Linked DNA regions of Elephas maximus indicus. The protein of the gene in region 2 interacts with the protein of the main gene of each other region in a pairwise test. Links are inferred from orthologs where the notes say so. Each region holds a gene or a part of one and is shown on either strand. Other genes may lie near its edges. The genes, in order: PIAS2, GFAP and PDLIM1.

What was found.
Region 1: the proteins of GFAP (region 2) and PIAS2 interact in binary tests that used the Homo sapiens proteins (3 or more experiments, as listed by UniProt). The two-hybrid records come from large-scale screens. The link is inferred for Elephas maximus indicus from reciprocal best matches to the Homo sapiens genes GFAP and PIAS2.
Region 3: the proteins of GFAP (region 2) and PDLIM1 interact in binary tests that used the Homo sapiens proteins (3 or more experiments, as listed by UniProt). The link is inferred for Elephas maximus indicus from reciprocal best matches to the Homo sapiens genes GFAP and PDLIM1.

Annotation. Positions count from the first base shown.
Region 1 is NC_064829.1:55,599,199-55,604,035, reverse strand, and holds the start of PIAS2 (E3 SUMO-protein ligase PIAS2), read left to right. Parts: upstream 1-1,218; 5' UTR 1,219-1,393; coding exon 1,394-1,417; intron 1,418-1,861; exon of another isoform or gene 1,862-2,010; coding exon of another isoform or gene 2,011-2,013; intron 2,014-4,837. UniProt on the Homo sapiens protein: Functions as an E3-type small ubiquitin-like modifier (SUMO) ligase, stabilizing the interaction between UBE2I and the substrate, and as a SUMO-tethering factor.
Region 2 is NC_064837.1:51,332,401-51,337,237, forward strand, and holds the start of GFAP (glial fibrillary acidic protein), read right to left. Parts: upstream 3,229-4,837; 5' UTR 2,975-3,228; coding exon 2,379-2,974; intron 1,503-2,378; coding exon 1,442-1,502; intron 1,246-1,441; coding exon 1,150-1,245; intron 375-1,149; coding exon 213-374; intron 1-212.
Region 3 is NC_064834.1:47,035,288-47,040,124, forward strand, and holds the start of PDLIM1 (PDZ and LIM domain protein 1), read right to left. Parts: upstream 2,989-4,837; 5' UTR 2,871-2,988; coding exon 2,775-2,870; intron 1-2,774. UniProt on the Homo sapiens protein: Cytoskeletal protein that may act as an adapter that brings other proteins (like kinases) to the cytoskeleton. Involved in assembly, disassembly and directioning of stress fibers in fibroblasts.

The DNA.
Region 1 (4,837 bases), on a different chromosome or scaffold from region 2:
AACAAGAATTGACTGTACCCTATACTTACCGTGGATAAATGCTATCAAGGAAAAGTTCAGGGTACTATGAGAGGTCATGAGAGGGATATGAATTAAAATGGGGCTAGGGAAGGTCTTTCTGAAGAAGTGACACTTCAACTGAGACCTGAAAGATTTACAGAAGTTCGAAAAGAGGATGAAAGTGGGAAATTATTCTTGGCCCAGGGATTTGCATTCACAGGTTAAAACATAGGGAAAAAAAGTCTGGTGGAGGAACTGAAACATGGGCAGTGTTTCTGGAGTGAGGGGGAGTGGGAAGTAGCTAGACAGGAGACAGATTCAACACGGCTCTTTGTAAGTTCCACTAAGTTTTCAAGGCCTTCCTTGGATGGGTTCCACCCACATCTTCAAGAAAATTTGAACTCTGGGCTCAGTTCAGAGAATTTTCGGATACCAGCTTGACTCAGCATCCTCTTTGTCTCTCATCCTTTCATCAGCATGTTAGGGGTGCCATCAAGCTTCCTTCCAGCTCCTCTGCCATGGCATTAGTTCTTCCCTAGCTATCTGATTTCCCTGACCCCTCAACTTTTTATCAGGGCCCTTCTGAGCGCTCTCTTATTTCACTTCCACTCTCCCCTCACCCCCCAGAGTCTCAATTGTGCAGTCCATGACATTCCCTCGCCCTTCAAAGGCTGGGCCAGGTTCCTACTTGAGGATGTTAGCAGTTTAAAGAGATCTCCCCAATCCTGTACCGTTAGATACAACAATAGCTTACCCAACACCCATATTCAGATTGTTCCGCCACGACTACTCTGAGGAATGCTTTTATTGCAGCTGCTTCCTCGGTCCACAGCCACTGCGTGGAAGGACACCATAAGAATTCTGCCGAACTGCTCCTGTCACAAGTCCCGTCCATCTCTTCCTCTCTGCCACTTCCCCGGGCCAGATCCTCCTTAAGCCTGCCGGTAAGGCTGCAGTCGCTGCTGCGTTTCACGGAGTCGGGACCGGCGTCGCGATGTGGAGGGAAGTGACAACGAGGGCTGAGGAAGGCAAGGCGACAGAACCAGACGCAAGAAGACGTGCGGGTCGCAGGAGAGAGAGGGATCTAACGCGAAGAGAGCCGCGCGCAAGAGCGTGGGAGAAGGCGCGGGCGGAAGGCGGTGGCCGGGCTGGGCAGGGGAGACCGGGGGCGGGGCAGCGGCGCGCCGGGGGCGGAGCTCCCGTGCCAGTCACGTGAGGGTCCCGGCGGCGTCGGCGGCGACGGCGGCGGCTGTGGCCGCGGCGTCTTTAGCGGCGCCCAGTGCAGGATGGTGCTGGAAGCGGCGGCGGCGGCCCTGGTGGCGGCGGCGTTGTTGGCGGCAGTGGGAGGGGGTGCTGTGGTAGCAGTAGCGGCAGCGTCCGCGGCTGGTATAAAATGGCGGATTTCGAAGAGTTGAGGGTAAGCAGGGGCCAGGAGTGGAGCGCAGAGGCCGGGGGGAGGGGAGGCGGGGAAGCCGCAACGTCGTCTGCTGCCACCTTCTCGTTGCCGGGACCGGTTGGCCGACCCCGACTCCCGGCGCGCGTCCGAGCCGGCGCCCAAGTGGGCGGGGGAGGGGAGCGAGTCGGCGGAGGACGCCTGGGCCTTGCGGGTGCTGTGGGCCTGGGGCCGAGGGCGAGCCCGCCTCTGGGTCCTGTTGGCGAATCCAGGCACCTGGCGCGGGGGTAGGGGCCGCCCTGGGGAGGGGCACGTGGGACCCGACTTCCCCGTTTAAGGTCTGAGGTAAAAAACAGCGTTTTATTTTCCACCTTCGCAAGGGGTGTACGTGTCTATGGCGATTGAGAAGTCTACATGCCACTTACTTGGAGGAAGACTATTTTCTGAAAGGTGAAGTTGCGCTCGAGAATGTTTCTCTCCTCTCTGTGGCTGATGATACCGTGTAGTCAGGTCTGTCACAAGAAAAGGCCCCTTCCTCCAACCAGTGTTTCCTCCACATATTGGAAGCGTGATCTTTTGGGAGCCTTGCCTTCAGTAATCGATATTTTCTTGGTACCATGGTAAGAAATCTAGAAAGTCTGTGTTGTCATGAGTTTTTTTTTTTTTTTTGTCAGTGAATTTGCTTTGCTCTTGAGGAAAAAAAAATTTTTTTCCTAGCCTTAGAGCAAGGTCATAACTTGATAGTTATCTTTGTATAGTAGACATTTGTAATGGAGTATAATGGAGGTTAGCAGAATTTTTTTTTTTTTCCTTCAGACTGATAACCTTCAGAGTCCTTAACTGAAAGAAAACTAAGTGTGACAAATGAGCCGGATTTATTTTTTATGGTCGCTATGTTTTTTTTTATGTCCGGGTTTATGTAAATAGAATATGTAAGGACGGGAACCCTGATACTTAAAAATATATATTTCAAAATAGGAATGAATGTCAACTTTAAGTTAACTGCAGCCAGTTTGCGTAACATAGACTATGATGTTAGGGTTACTTTTTTGGAATAAGAAGGAAGAAGAATCTGTTAAAAGAGTCAGTTTTGTATGTTACTTTTCGGTGAGGGATCTGGTGGAGGAAAGTCATTTGTTACCTGGCTAGTAACTTACAGAAGAACATATTCTTGGTTTTGGTCGAAAGGAGATTGTTGTAGTTTACATAATGCCTGCCATTTGTCCCCCACCGCCCGCCCCCCCCAAAAGGAATTAGAATGCAGTAGAAAAGCCATGTTCATGCATTTTATGATGGTGTAGTGGTTAAGTGCGACGGCTGCTAACCAAAGGGTTGGCAGTTCAGATCCGCCAGGGGCTCCTTGGAAACTCTATGGGGCAGTTCTGCTCTGTCCTGTAGGGTCGCTGTGAGTTGTAATCCACTCGACGGCGCTGGTTTTGGTTTTTGGACTAGTTTATATAGAGGACCATGATAAGAAAAGGATGTTCATATTGCCAAGTTCAAGTAAGGGTTTTAGTGGCTGATGAACCTCAGGTTGGAGGTTTTAACACCTGTAGAGCTTTTGAAAAAACCATGCTTGAGCTTCACTTCTGTAAATCCATGTATTAGGTTTAGAAGACTGCATTTTGAAATTATTCTCACCTGCGGTAGTAATTTTTGTGTAGTGACAAATATTTGCAAATTTTTCTCTTCCTATTATTTTTATTGATGAGAACTTTTCCAGAACTTGTGTTAGACTTTTATAAATGTTGTTGAAGCTTAACAAAAAAGCAGAGGATTTATTTACCAGTACAGGGCAGAAACGGTGCTTACATTGGAGTGGAACCAGGAACTGGAAAGTGGTCAGAAACCAAAGAAACTTTTCTCCCTCTTTCTTTCTCTCCATTTTGTTGTGTGGATCAGCTGTCTTTGCTTCTCCCTGCACTTGATAGAAGATGGCCCTTCCCTTACAGTTGACTTCAGGTGACCGACAGAGACTAACCAGGGAGAGTTCTCAGAGGAGGGGAGGATATGGGCTGGGCAGATGCTTGAAAAGTTATCCATGTTCATCTTTGCCTTAGCCACTTTAGCAGCTGTGATGGTTAAGGTTATGTGTCAACTTGGCTAGGCCATGATTCCCAGTGGTTTGGCAGGTATTATGTAATTATTCTCCATTTTGCGATATGATGTGAACAGCCAGTTTGTTGAAAGACCATTCAGTCGAAAGCCAATCAGTTTCCTTAGGGGCGCAGCCTGCAGCCAGTATGTATATATGAATGTTCTGGCAAAACTCTCTCTTGGATCCTGTATCCTATCGGTCATCCTCTGACTTCTGTTCTTGGGACGTGAGCCAGCAACTTGCTGCCCGATCTGCAGATCTTGGGATTCCTTAGCTCCCGCAGCCATGTGAGCCAGCAGCCTTCCGCCTGACCTTCCAATTTTGGGTTTGTTGGCTACCGCAACCACGTGAGTCAGGAGAAGCCTTTAGTCTGATGCTTGACCCATGGGTTTGGGACTTGTCAACTTCTACAACTGCGTGAGCCGTTTTCTTGAGATAAATTTATATATATATATATATATATATATATATATATATGCGTGCTTCATTGGTTTTTCTTCTCTGGAGAAAAACGTTTGGTACTGAGAGTGGTTCTAGAGGGGAAATTCATAAGGAGGATGAGTTTTCTGAATTGTTTCTCAAGCCTGGCTAGCCTTAAAGGTGCTGATGACTGTCTCTAGTAGTAAAGAGGACACTGTTAATCCATGGCATGAGGTGGCCATAGAAATACACAAAATAACATCACCCATGGTAAAGTATTTGTGAGAGATAAGGTTCTGGGTGATCGCATATTTGATATTTTTCTACGGTTTCATCCAAATGAGAAGTATAAGCTGGTTGGTCGGTCGTGGTTTTGCTGGACAAAGTGGTGAAAGAACGAGTTGAGCTCAGGGCTTCAGAGTCACAGCTTAAAAAAAAATAAGTGCCATATAAAAGACCTGAAAGTTCCCACTTGAGCCCTGAAAGAAATCACCTTTCTTGTAGTAACAGAGCTGATGCTGCCAAAAGCCAAACCCAGAGTCTTAAGAGTGTCTGAATTACAATGCCAGTTGAATTTGTAACCTTGAATGATGTCTGAAATTAAAGTGAGGACACTGACTGGGAAGAAATGGGATCCCAAAAAGTGGGATGGGGCACATTGGTAGATAATCAGGAAGCTGGGGACATTGAGCCCCTAAATTCCATTAAATCACTCCTGCCAACAGAACTAGCCCTCTTACTCCCATCTGAAGAGATTCCGCCATCTTTGTTTGCTAAGCTCCCTTCCTTAGTTAAACCATTATCCCTTCCACCCCCATCTGTTGAGTTAACCCAGCTGTGTCTGAAGAGCTGTTGAGATACTGCCGGCGGCGTTGCCTAAGACAGATGCCTTACAAAACATTGCTGAATGTTCCCCAAACCACCCC
Region 2 (4,837 bases):
ATCCACCAACGGCAATGGGTCTGGTTTTTGTTTTGTTTTACTTATTGGAGGTAGTAGTGCCTGTGTGACCCTGGACAAGTCACTTCATTTCTCCAGAGGTCAGTAACCCAGAGAAGATCCTTTCCCACCTTCCTGCATCCTCCCTCCCAATTCTCCCGTATGGTACAAGGAGAGCTGCCTGGAGGAGACAGGCTTGCCCACAGTTAGGCTACCTTGGACCGGTACCACTCCTCTGCCTCATGCATGTTGCTGGATGCCACTGCCTCGTACTGCGTGCGGATCTCTCTCAAGGCCGCTGTGAGGTCTGGCTTGGCCGTGTCCACCTCCACGTGGACCTGCTGCTGGGCCAGCTGCTCCTGGAGCTCCCGTACCTCCTGGCCAGCGTGAGAAAAGTCCCAGGGCTTAGGACTCAGGCGACAGCCAGGGTTTCCTGCAGCATCATGCCCTCTTGGACATGGACACAGCTAAGGGAATTGGGGCAGCCCTAGTTGGAGAAAGTGGCACGGCCCAGGCTAAGGGAGACACGGGATGGTTTGGGGCTTCATGGTGTCCTCTTCCCAGAGCTGGACAGGCCGGAGCTGGCTCTGAGAGTGTGCCTGCATTCTTGGGGGACAGTGACTATATTTCTGTGAATGGGGGTGCCTGTGTTCCTGATTCCATGGCAACATGGATTCTGAATCTATGATCTGAGGCCAGAGCTCAGGGGTTCTTATAAGTGGCTGTCATTTTAAGGGAGACAGATGGCAGAGGGGGGTTGGAGTCAAACTAGCTAGGTGACCTTACCAAGTGTCTTAACCCCTCTGCACCTCAGTGTCCTAATCTGTGAAGAGGGGATGATACTGGAATGGATTCTACTTCATTGGGCTGTTGTGAAGGAAAAAAAAAAAAAATGAGGCAATAGGACCCATCGTAACACTCAGTAAATGGAGTTGGGGCGTTGAGTGTGTGCGTTTTACTAGGGGTTGGATACTCTTGTCTGTCTCTCTCTCTTAGTCTCTCTCTGTATCTGTCTCTCTGTCTCTCACTCTGTTTCTCTCTCATTCTGTTTCTCTATCAGTCAATACCAAAATGACGGCTCAGAGCGTCTTTCTCCATCTCTGTCCATTTCAGTCTCTGTTTTGGGCCCTCCTCCCTCTGCCCTGGCCTCACCTCCTCATGGATCTTCCTCAGGAACCGAATCTCCTCCTCCAGTGACTCAATCTTCCTCTCCAGATCTAAGCGGGCCAGGGTGGCTTCATCTGCCTCCTGGAATGGGGAGGAGACAAAGGGCCACTTGGACCCCAGACTCTTCCTCCACATTTCCCAGCCTTGTTTATCCCTTCTTCGGGGACCAGGGGGGAGCAGCACATTGCTCTGGAGGGCTGGGCTGGGGGGGCTCTGTTGGAGTGGGCTGCCTGCAAGCCTATCCCTCCTCCCTGCCCCACCCCTCCACCTCCCTGACCTGTCGATAGGCAGCCAGATTATTCTCCGCATCCAGCCTCAGGTTGGTTTCGTCCTGGAGTCTGGGGTGGGAAAGACACATTCCTGGGTCCAAGCTCTTCTGAGGACTCTCGGGTCTCTCCCCAGGCTCCCAGGACTGGTAGAGTGGCAGGAGAGCCAGGGTCAGAGGGGTCCTAGACAGAGGACTTGACAAGCAGGGTGAGCAGTCCAGGGACTTTGCTTTAACTCATTACCAAGGGGCCTTATCAGAGTTGGTGGACCTGCTCCCGCTCAGGCAGGCACATCCACAGCACCTGCTGCTGCTGTGTGCACAAACACACACTCCTCCTGCACTTGCAGGCCATCCTGCATGCCCTGCCAGCTCAGCAAACATCGTGTCCCTGCGGCTTCTCAGACCCTGGGCAAATAACTATTGAAATAGGGTTTATTATGACCCCCACTTCAAGGCTGCACAGGTTGAGGTGGCTTGCTTAAGGTCACAAGGTGATGATAGGCAGAGTGTGTTCTGAAGCCAGGCCTGCCTGCAGTTTCCCCTGCCTCCTTCCCCTCCCCATTCTCCTTGTAGACACCCACCTTCTCCCCTTTTCACACCTCCTCTATATAGACCCAGGCTCAGAAAAGGCGAACGCCCTGCCTGCAGTCAGGAGGCCCAGCAGTGGATGAAACTGAAAGACCCCACCCACTCAGGTCTCTGCCATGCGTTCCCCTGGTTGGGAGGTGCTAAGAGTACCTGGACTGATCTTCTGAGGTGTTAGGCCTCTCCCTGGTCCCTCCCACTGTATGGTGGAACAAGGATCGCCTTCTTGTCCCAGAGGTGGAGAAACCCAGGGAGCAAGGAGGCAGAGCCCTGCACCCAAGATCCTTGCAGGCCCGTGGCACCCCTCTCAGGAGCTCAGTCCCCCTGCTCAAGAACCCCTCTCTTCGGTACCCGTCCTCACTTCTGCCTCAGGGTGCCCAGGTCCTGCGCCAGGTTGTCCCTCTCCGCCTCGAGCCGGGCACTGTTGGCGGTGAGCTGGTCGAGCCGCAGCCGCAGCTCACGCAGTTCTGCCTGGTAGACATCGGCCAGCTTGGTGGGCTCCTTGGCCCGTAGCTGGTTCAGCTCGGCAGCCAGTGCCTTGTTCTGCTGCTCCAGGAAGCGCACTTTCTCAATGTAGCTGGCAAAGCGGTCATTGAGCTCCATCATCTCAGCCCGCTCGCTGGCCCGTGTCTCCTTGAAGCCGGCATTGAGTGCCCCAGCCAGGGAGAAGTCCACCCGGGTCGGGAGTGGAGGGGGCATTCGGGCCAGAGAGAGGCGGGTGCCAGGCCCCAGGCGGCGGCCGGGACCCAGGCTCCCCACCATGGTCTCTGAGGAGGAGACATAGGAGCGGCGGGCCGCCGAGGTGATGCGTCTCCGCTCCATCAGGGCCGGGCTCTGCCTGCTTCTGGCATCTGAGAGCTTTATGGAGGAGTGGGCTGGCCTGGCACTGCCCAGGCTGCCCTGGCAACACCGCTTGGCATGGCCTGAGGGGGTGGGGTTGGGCCGCAGCCCAGCCATGGGGAGAGCTCCTCTCACCCCACCGAGGTCACTGTGCCCAGAGGCAGGGCTTCCTGGGCATGCCAGCCCTGGCCTGGGCCACAGTCAGGGAGGGGCACTGATGGGTAGTGCCTGGGACCAGGTTCTGGGTCTAGGGCCCTAGCCACTGGACAAGGAGACCCCCTTTCTAGGAAGGTGGGTCAAGAAGGGGCTGAATCAGGGGACATCTAACCTACCTTCTAACTCTCAAATTCCATCACCCAGGCATCCCCTCACCCATCGAGTGCCTGCTTGATGATGGGAATTTGGCGAATAACAAACCTGTTCCAGACTCTCAAGGAACAGCTTATGTTACAGTTTCCTACCCAGCCCCCTTCCTGACAGCTTCCTGGACATCCTCCCCTCTGGACACAGACATCTGCCATTCCCACTTCCTCACCCTTCCCAGGAGTTCTGGGGCTGGGAGCTGGACTGGACTCCAGCCCTTTGTTTGGACGGTCAGCTGAGTCTCTATCTAGCAGTTGGGGGTTGACAGAAGAGGCTTTGGGGATCCCGGTATGGAAGAGGGCCCAACACTGTACTCCCGACCCTCTCCCTGGGCCACTCTTGAGACCCCGCCTGGCCTCATTGTACTCCCTTCCTGAGCCTTGACAGCTCCACAAAGGAGTTACCAATGACCTGGCTGTCCCTGCTCACATCTTTGTTGTTGTGACACCCTGTTTCCCTGGCCACCCCCTCATTCTCCTGCTGGAGATGTATCACCTTTGAGTTCCCACACATCAGGCTGGGAAGATGGGAAAAGCCTCCAGGGATGGGTAAGTTTGGGAAATCGGGAGCCACTGTGTATAGGCCGGGAGCCAGGTCCACCTCTTCCCCCTGCCCAGCCCCTTGCCAATATGTGTCCTTGGACCTCTGGGAAGCGGATAGCCCTCCATGCCCCCCCCCCCATCGCCATAGCCCACTGTCCATGCCTGGGCCTCCCATTCCTTTCCCCAGGCACTTGCTGAAAGGAGCCTTGTTCTCCACTGCTGGTGAGGGTGCCACACTTCAAGGGCAGCCCCCCAGGGGGCTGTGCTGCTTTTTTCCCAAGATGGCAGGCTGTCAGGCCAGGGCGCAGCCTGAGCCCTCTGCTCAATGAGTTTCTCGGAAAGCATCTGAGGGGGCTGGGTGCAGCGGGAAGCAGGCTCTGTGCCCACCCCGTACCATTGTGTCTGTGCCAAGGTGAGTCATCCAGTGGGCATGAGGGAAAGGCCCTGGGGGTGGCCAGCTCGGCACTGCCAGGTCTCCAGCTTGCCAGAGGAGGCTGCCCGCTCCTCCTCAGCTCTCAGCCAGCTCAGGCCCTTGAGCCTCTGTCCGGGTAATACCCCCCACCACACACCGGGTATTTGCTGCCTGCTAGGGCCAGACATGAGGGCTTCCCCTGAGAGTCCCAGCTCTGAGGGGCAGAGGTGAGAGTTCCTGAGTCTCTAGCCACATGTAACTCTGAGTCTTGACCAGTAGCATGGGGAGGGTCATCGTTAGGAGGGGGCACCCACTGACCTTTGATCCTGCTGGGCTGGGGAGCTGGGAACAGATGGAGGCTTTAAAGGAAGAGCAAGACTGCGGATGAATCCTTGTGCTATTCATCCTTGTCCCAATTTTCTGTGGCGAGGAGGGTGGCTTGCCCTTCCATGTTGCTGGGCAAGTCACAGTGTGCGGTCTCCCCTTTTTGTTCAAGTAAATCTATTTGAAAGGAGTACAAGACAATCCTGGAGAGAAAAGATGTAACAAAAGCAGGAAGGACTTGTCAGTGAAGTCGGGTGAATTGTGCCTGTATATATGAGACACGGTGTCTGTCAGTTTGTCATACCATGGGGGCTTGTGTGTTCCTGTGATGCTGGAAGC
Region 3 (4,837 bases), on a different chromosome or scaffold from region 2:
ACCCCAGGGCCCTTTTAAGACAAGGACCTTCCTATTCCCAGGAAGTGAGCAGGCCCATGTCTTTTCCATGTGGAAGCAATGAGATAATGAGAAAAGAAATTACTACCAGCATGACAATGCTACCACCTTCCCTATGTCACTTTCACACTTTCATTAAAGCACCTGCCAAGGGGTATTGTAAAGATTAGCTCCCGCCCTCCTCCCAAAAAAAGAGGTTAGCTTCCCTCACTAGACCATGAACACCTTAACAATAGAGCTATGTCTTCCCATTTCTGGGTCCCTAAGGCTTTGTATGGAAACTCTTGTGGTGTGGTGGTTAAATGCTACGGCTGCTAACCAAAAGGTCGGCAGTTCAAATCCACCAGGCGCTCCTTGGAAACTCTATGGCGCGGGTCTACTTTGTCCTATAGGGTCGCTGTGAGTCGGAATCGACTCGACGGCAATGGTTTGGTTTTGGGGCTTTAAGGCTTTGTATAAGGCCTCTGGGAGGTAAGCGCTCGGCTGCTAACCGGAAGGTTGGCACTTCAAACCCAAACAGAGGATCATGGGAAGAAAGGCCTGGCAATTAGCTTCTGAAGGACCACAGCTGTGAAAACCCTATGAAGCAGAGTTTACTCTGACACATATGAGGCAACCAAGAGTCAGAATCCACTCAACAGTAACTGGTTTGTTTTGGTTTTTAAGGTTTTGCACAGTAGCACATAGCACCTGCTCATTAAGCATGTGCTGATGAACGAATGAATACATGAAGGTACAAACAAATGCATTCAGAGTCTGGTGTTCCACACCATGCCATCATTCCTGCACAGTGCCACTTGCCTTAAGATTTTTTAAGGCAGCTAAAATGACAGGCGGTATCTGCCCTTTTAACAGATTGCCCATACATCCTCTACTACTTAAAAAAAGGTTTCACGTCATATATAAATCTCCGAAGTGGAGAGAGCTGACGGGTTAATTATAGACACAAAGAGCAGGGGCAAATGGACTATGAGGTAAGCGAGTCTAAATGTGCAGAGGCAATGCCTACCCAGGGCAAGCATTTATTAATAAGCCACAAGGATTCACCCACACTGCCAGATTTCACTCTGTGCCAGGCTCGGGGGCGGAGGTCTCCATGTGGGGAAGGCATAGTTCCTGCGATTGAGGAATTCGGCTGGTGGCTGGGAAGACTGCGTGGACTTGTGAGAATAATCAAGGAAGTCCAGTAGGACAAGGTGTGCAGGTGACCGACAGGGCCAAGAATTAGGACACCTGCTTTTGGGAATGGAATAGTCAGAGGAGACCTCCCGACATGGCAAGGCCCACCTGGAAAGATTGGGGGGTAGGATTGGGACTGGCAGAGAAGGCCTCCTCTCCTCCTGTACCTCCTTCCATACTCCTTCAGCTGCTGGAGGCAGGGACTTAAGTCAAAATGACCTACAGGCACCTTCCCAGACTATTCAAGGAAGAGGAGTATTTAGAAGATGGGAGGGGGGTCGGGGAGCAAGTTTGAGCTGTGCCTCTGACTCAGATGGGCCCAAAGGGGCCTCCAGGCAGGGCATAGCTGCCAAAGGGTGGGCTTCTGTTCCCTTTCTTCAATCAAAAAACATTCATTATGCCTTCTAGGCACAGGCACTGAATGTGGCAACTTGCAGTGGGACATCAGCTGTGTTTGGACCACGCTAGACAGCCAACAGTTAAGAGCTTGATAACAAAAGGTTGTTGGTTTGAACACACCTACCCTGCTGCTCCTCCAGAGAAAGACCTGGCGATCTGCTCTGGCAAAGACTACAGACTAGAAAACCCTATAAGGCAGTTCTAGGCTGTGACCATAGTCATATGGGGTCGCTTTGAGTGGAAATCGTCTTGACAACACCTAACAACAGACGGCCAAAGCCTGAGCCTACACACTCCCGTCTCTGATCTGGGTCTCCCTAGGGTTGCCACTTTATTTGGGGGTGATGGGTCTGGTGGTCCCAGATCGAGCCTGGGCCCTTCCAAACACATGAGCCCCCCGAAGTTTTCAAGAACACCCCCAAACACACGGGGTGGGAATCCCACCCCACCCCAGTACCAACTCCTTCATCCCCTGGGGATGATAATTCGGGAATGGCTGGTGGAAAGACGTAATGGCCACCACCCGCAGGAAAGAATGACCAAGAAGCTTATCTGGGGTTAGTTTGTTTGTTTCCAATACTCTGCTTTTCTCCGAATGGCAGACCGGGCTATGGATCAAGTCCCGAGAGTGGAAAACTAGTTGTTTCGGTTGTTGTTTTGTTAACCCCACACGCCACACAGTAAACTTTCCACCCATTCCACCTCACTTTCCAGGTCTTTCCTGCTGCTTCCAAACTGCTTTCTGCCGCCCTGAGTCTTAAGAGCCGGGAAGGCCCATCTCCTAGCGTGCGCGATCTTGGGGGACCCTCATGCCCTCGCGGGTTCACAAGGCGCGCCCACACGAGGAGCTGCGCTTCCGGGGAGGAGGAACGAAAACTGCCCTCTTCTTTCTAGCGGACCCCATAAGTGTACGCCCGGCCACCTGCCGGCTCGCTCGGGAACGCAGCGCCAGGGAAAGAGCGACGGGAGCTGCCCTTCCAAGGCGCGCGGAGAGCGCTTAGCGCGTGGTGTACCCGGCACACCTGGACTCGCCGCTCGGTCCCGGCTCCCGTCCCCGGCGCCCAAAGCTGCCGTCCCCGATAGCGCCCGCGGAGACCCAGGCTCCCCAGGACGCCGGGGCGCGCCGCCCTCTTGCCCAGGAGCGTCCTGCTTTCGCGCGCGTCCCAGGCTGCTCTTACCCGGGAAATGGCGAGCGGCTGCTCGAAGTCCTTGCCCCCCACGAGGCGGAAGCCCCATGGTCCCGGGCCCTGGAGGACTATCTGCTGGGTGGTCATGGCGCGGCGGCAGCGGGCGAGACAGACGGGGTAGGACTGGGCTCCCGGGGCAGCTGTCGGAGAAAGAGCGCGCGGCGCGGAGCCAGCGGCTTGGGACCAAGGCGGGAGGAGGGAGGGCGCGGGCGACTCCGCCCAGTCCGCGTCGCTGCCGCGCGCCCCGCCTGTCCCCTCTCCGCACCCTGCAGTCGCTCCCCGCCCCGCGCGCCGGCTGAGGACACGGCCGGAGTCGGACAGAAAGAGCTCTGGCTCTGCGCGGGACCCCAGCACCACCTCGCTCCTGTCCCCACCCAGCCCCGCCGCTCTCAGCCCCGCTGCCGGTGCTAGGTGAGAGGGCTGGTGCCGACTCACCGCGGAGGAGATAAATATGTATTTGGTCCTTTTTAAAACAGTTTTAAAATGTGCAAAGTCAATCCTCTGAAGTCAGCTCCAGTTTTCTACTTGCATTTTGTAAACGATAATGATGTTTAAAAAGAGCTTTCGTATGATCTCATTGGATGCTAAGAGGCAGTTAAGGGCCTTTAGTCCCATTTTACAGATGAAGTAACTGAGTCCGCCTGAGGTTAGAAGACTTGCCTGAGGCCACAAAGTGGTGTGTTCGGACCACTGACCCAGAGTCCTGAGCTAGACAGCTCCACACAGGGACTATTCTAATGCTAATAAGGCCATAGCACGATTTTATAATTGGACTTCCTGATCACTGGGTTGGGTGGGATCTGCCTGGAAACCTTTCCTCCAGGCTGGAGTTCCCCTAGGTTCCCACCTTCTCAACAGTTAGTTCATGGACGATTTATACCTCAAGTCTGGGGCAGGCCAAGTGCTAAGTGCATGGAAAGGGCACTGGGCTGAGTCAGAGGACCTGGGTTCCCAGCCTGACACTAGCCCTCTATCTGGGCTCCCTGCCCTCCTCCCCCTAGACTGCATTCTTCTGACTCCCCACCTTCCTCAGAGTAAAAGCCCTAATCCTTAAAACTCTCATAGGATCAGTCACAACTACCTCTCTGACCTCACTTCCTGCTGCTACAGGCTCCCTGGCTCCAACCACACTGTCCTCTTTACTCTCTTTCAGGGCCTTGCATTCTCCATCTGTCTGGAGTGCCCTTCTCCCAGACACCCCCAGGGTTATCTCTTTGTTCTTGTTCTCCTCTCAGTGAAACCTGCTCTAAGCACCTATTTAAAACTTACTCTCTTTTTTTTTTTTCTCTAGAAGGGAGCCCTGGTGACGCAATGGTTAAGCCCTCGCCTGCTCACGGAAAGGGGCGGGGGTGATTACAAACGCTGTAGTGGGTCCACAGGAGAAAAACCTGGCTATTAGTCCCATAAAGATTACAGCGTGGGCAACTTCTACTCTCTGTTGTAGGATCGCTATGAGTTGGAATCCACTTGAGGGCACACAAAAATTCCTTCAGCTTTCCCTGCTTTATTTTTCTCCATTGCGTTTATTACTACCTGATGCTTCAGTGATCAAGCACAGGGCTGCTAACTAAAAGGCCAACTGTTTGAACCTACTAGCCACTCCACAGAAGAACGATGTGGCAGACGACCTTCGAAACCCTATGGGGCAGTTCTACTCTGTCTTATAGAGTCGCTATGAGTCCGAATCAACTCAACAGCGTGAGGTTTGGACATAAACCTTGAAAGAGGCCTGGAAGTCTTCTGAAAGGTCACAGCCGTGAAAACCCTGTGGAGCAGTTCTCTGCAATATGTGGGATCACCATGAGTTGGAATCAATTCAGTGGCAACTGGTTTGCTTTTTGGGTTGACGTATTCTTTCTTTAATCTGAGAAAAAAGGCGTAGAGTTACAACCAGTAACCAACCACCAACACCAAAATTGCATCCTCTTTCATTAAGATCCCGTTACTTAGCAAACATGCTAGTGTTTCAAGTCCCTGCCAAATTTTAAGGGCAATCAACAAATTTTGATTCTGCCCTTAGATGCAGAGTAGTTTTCAATATTATGTATCCTTGT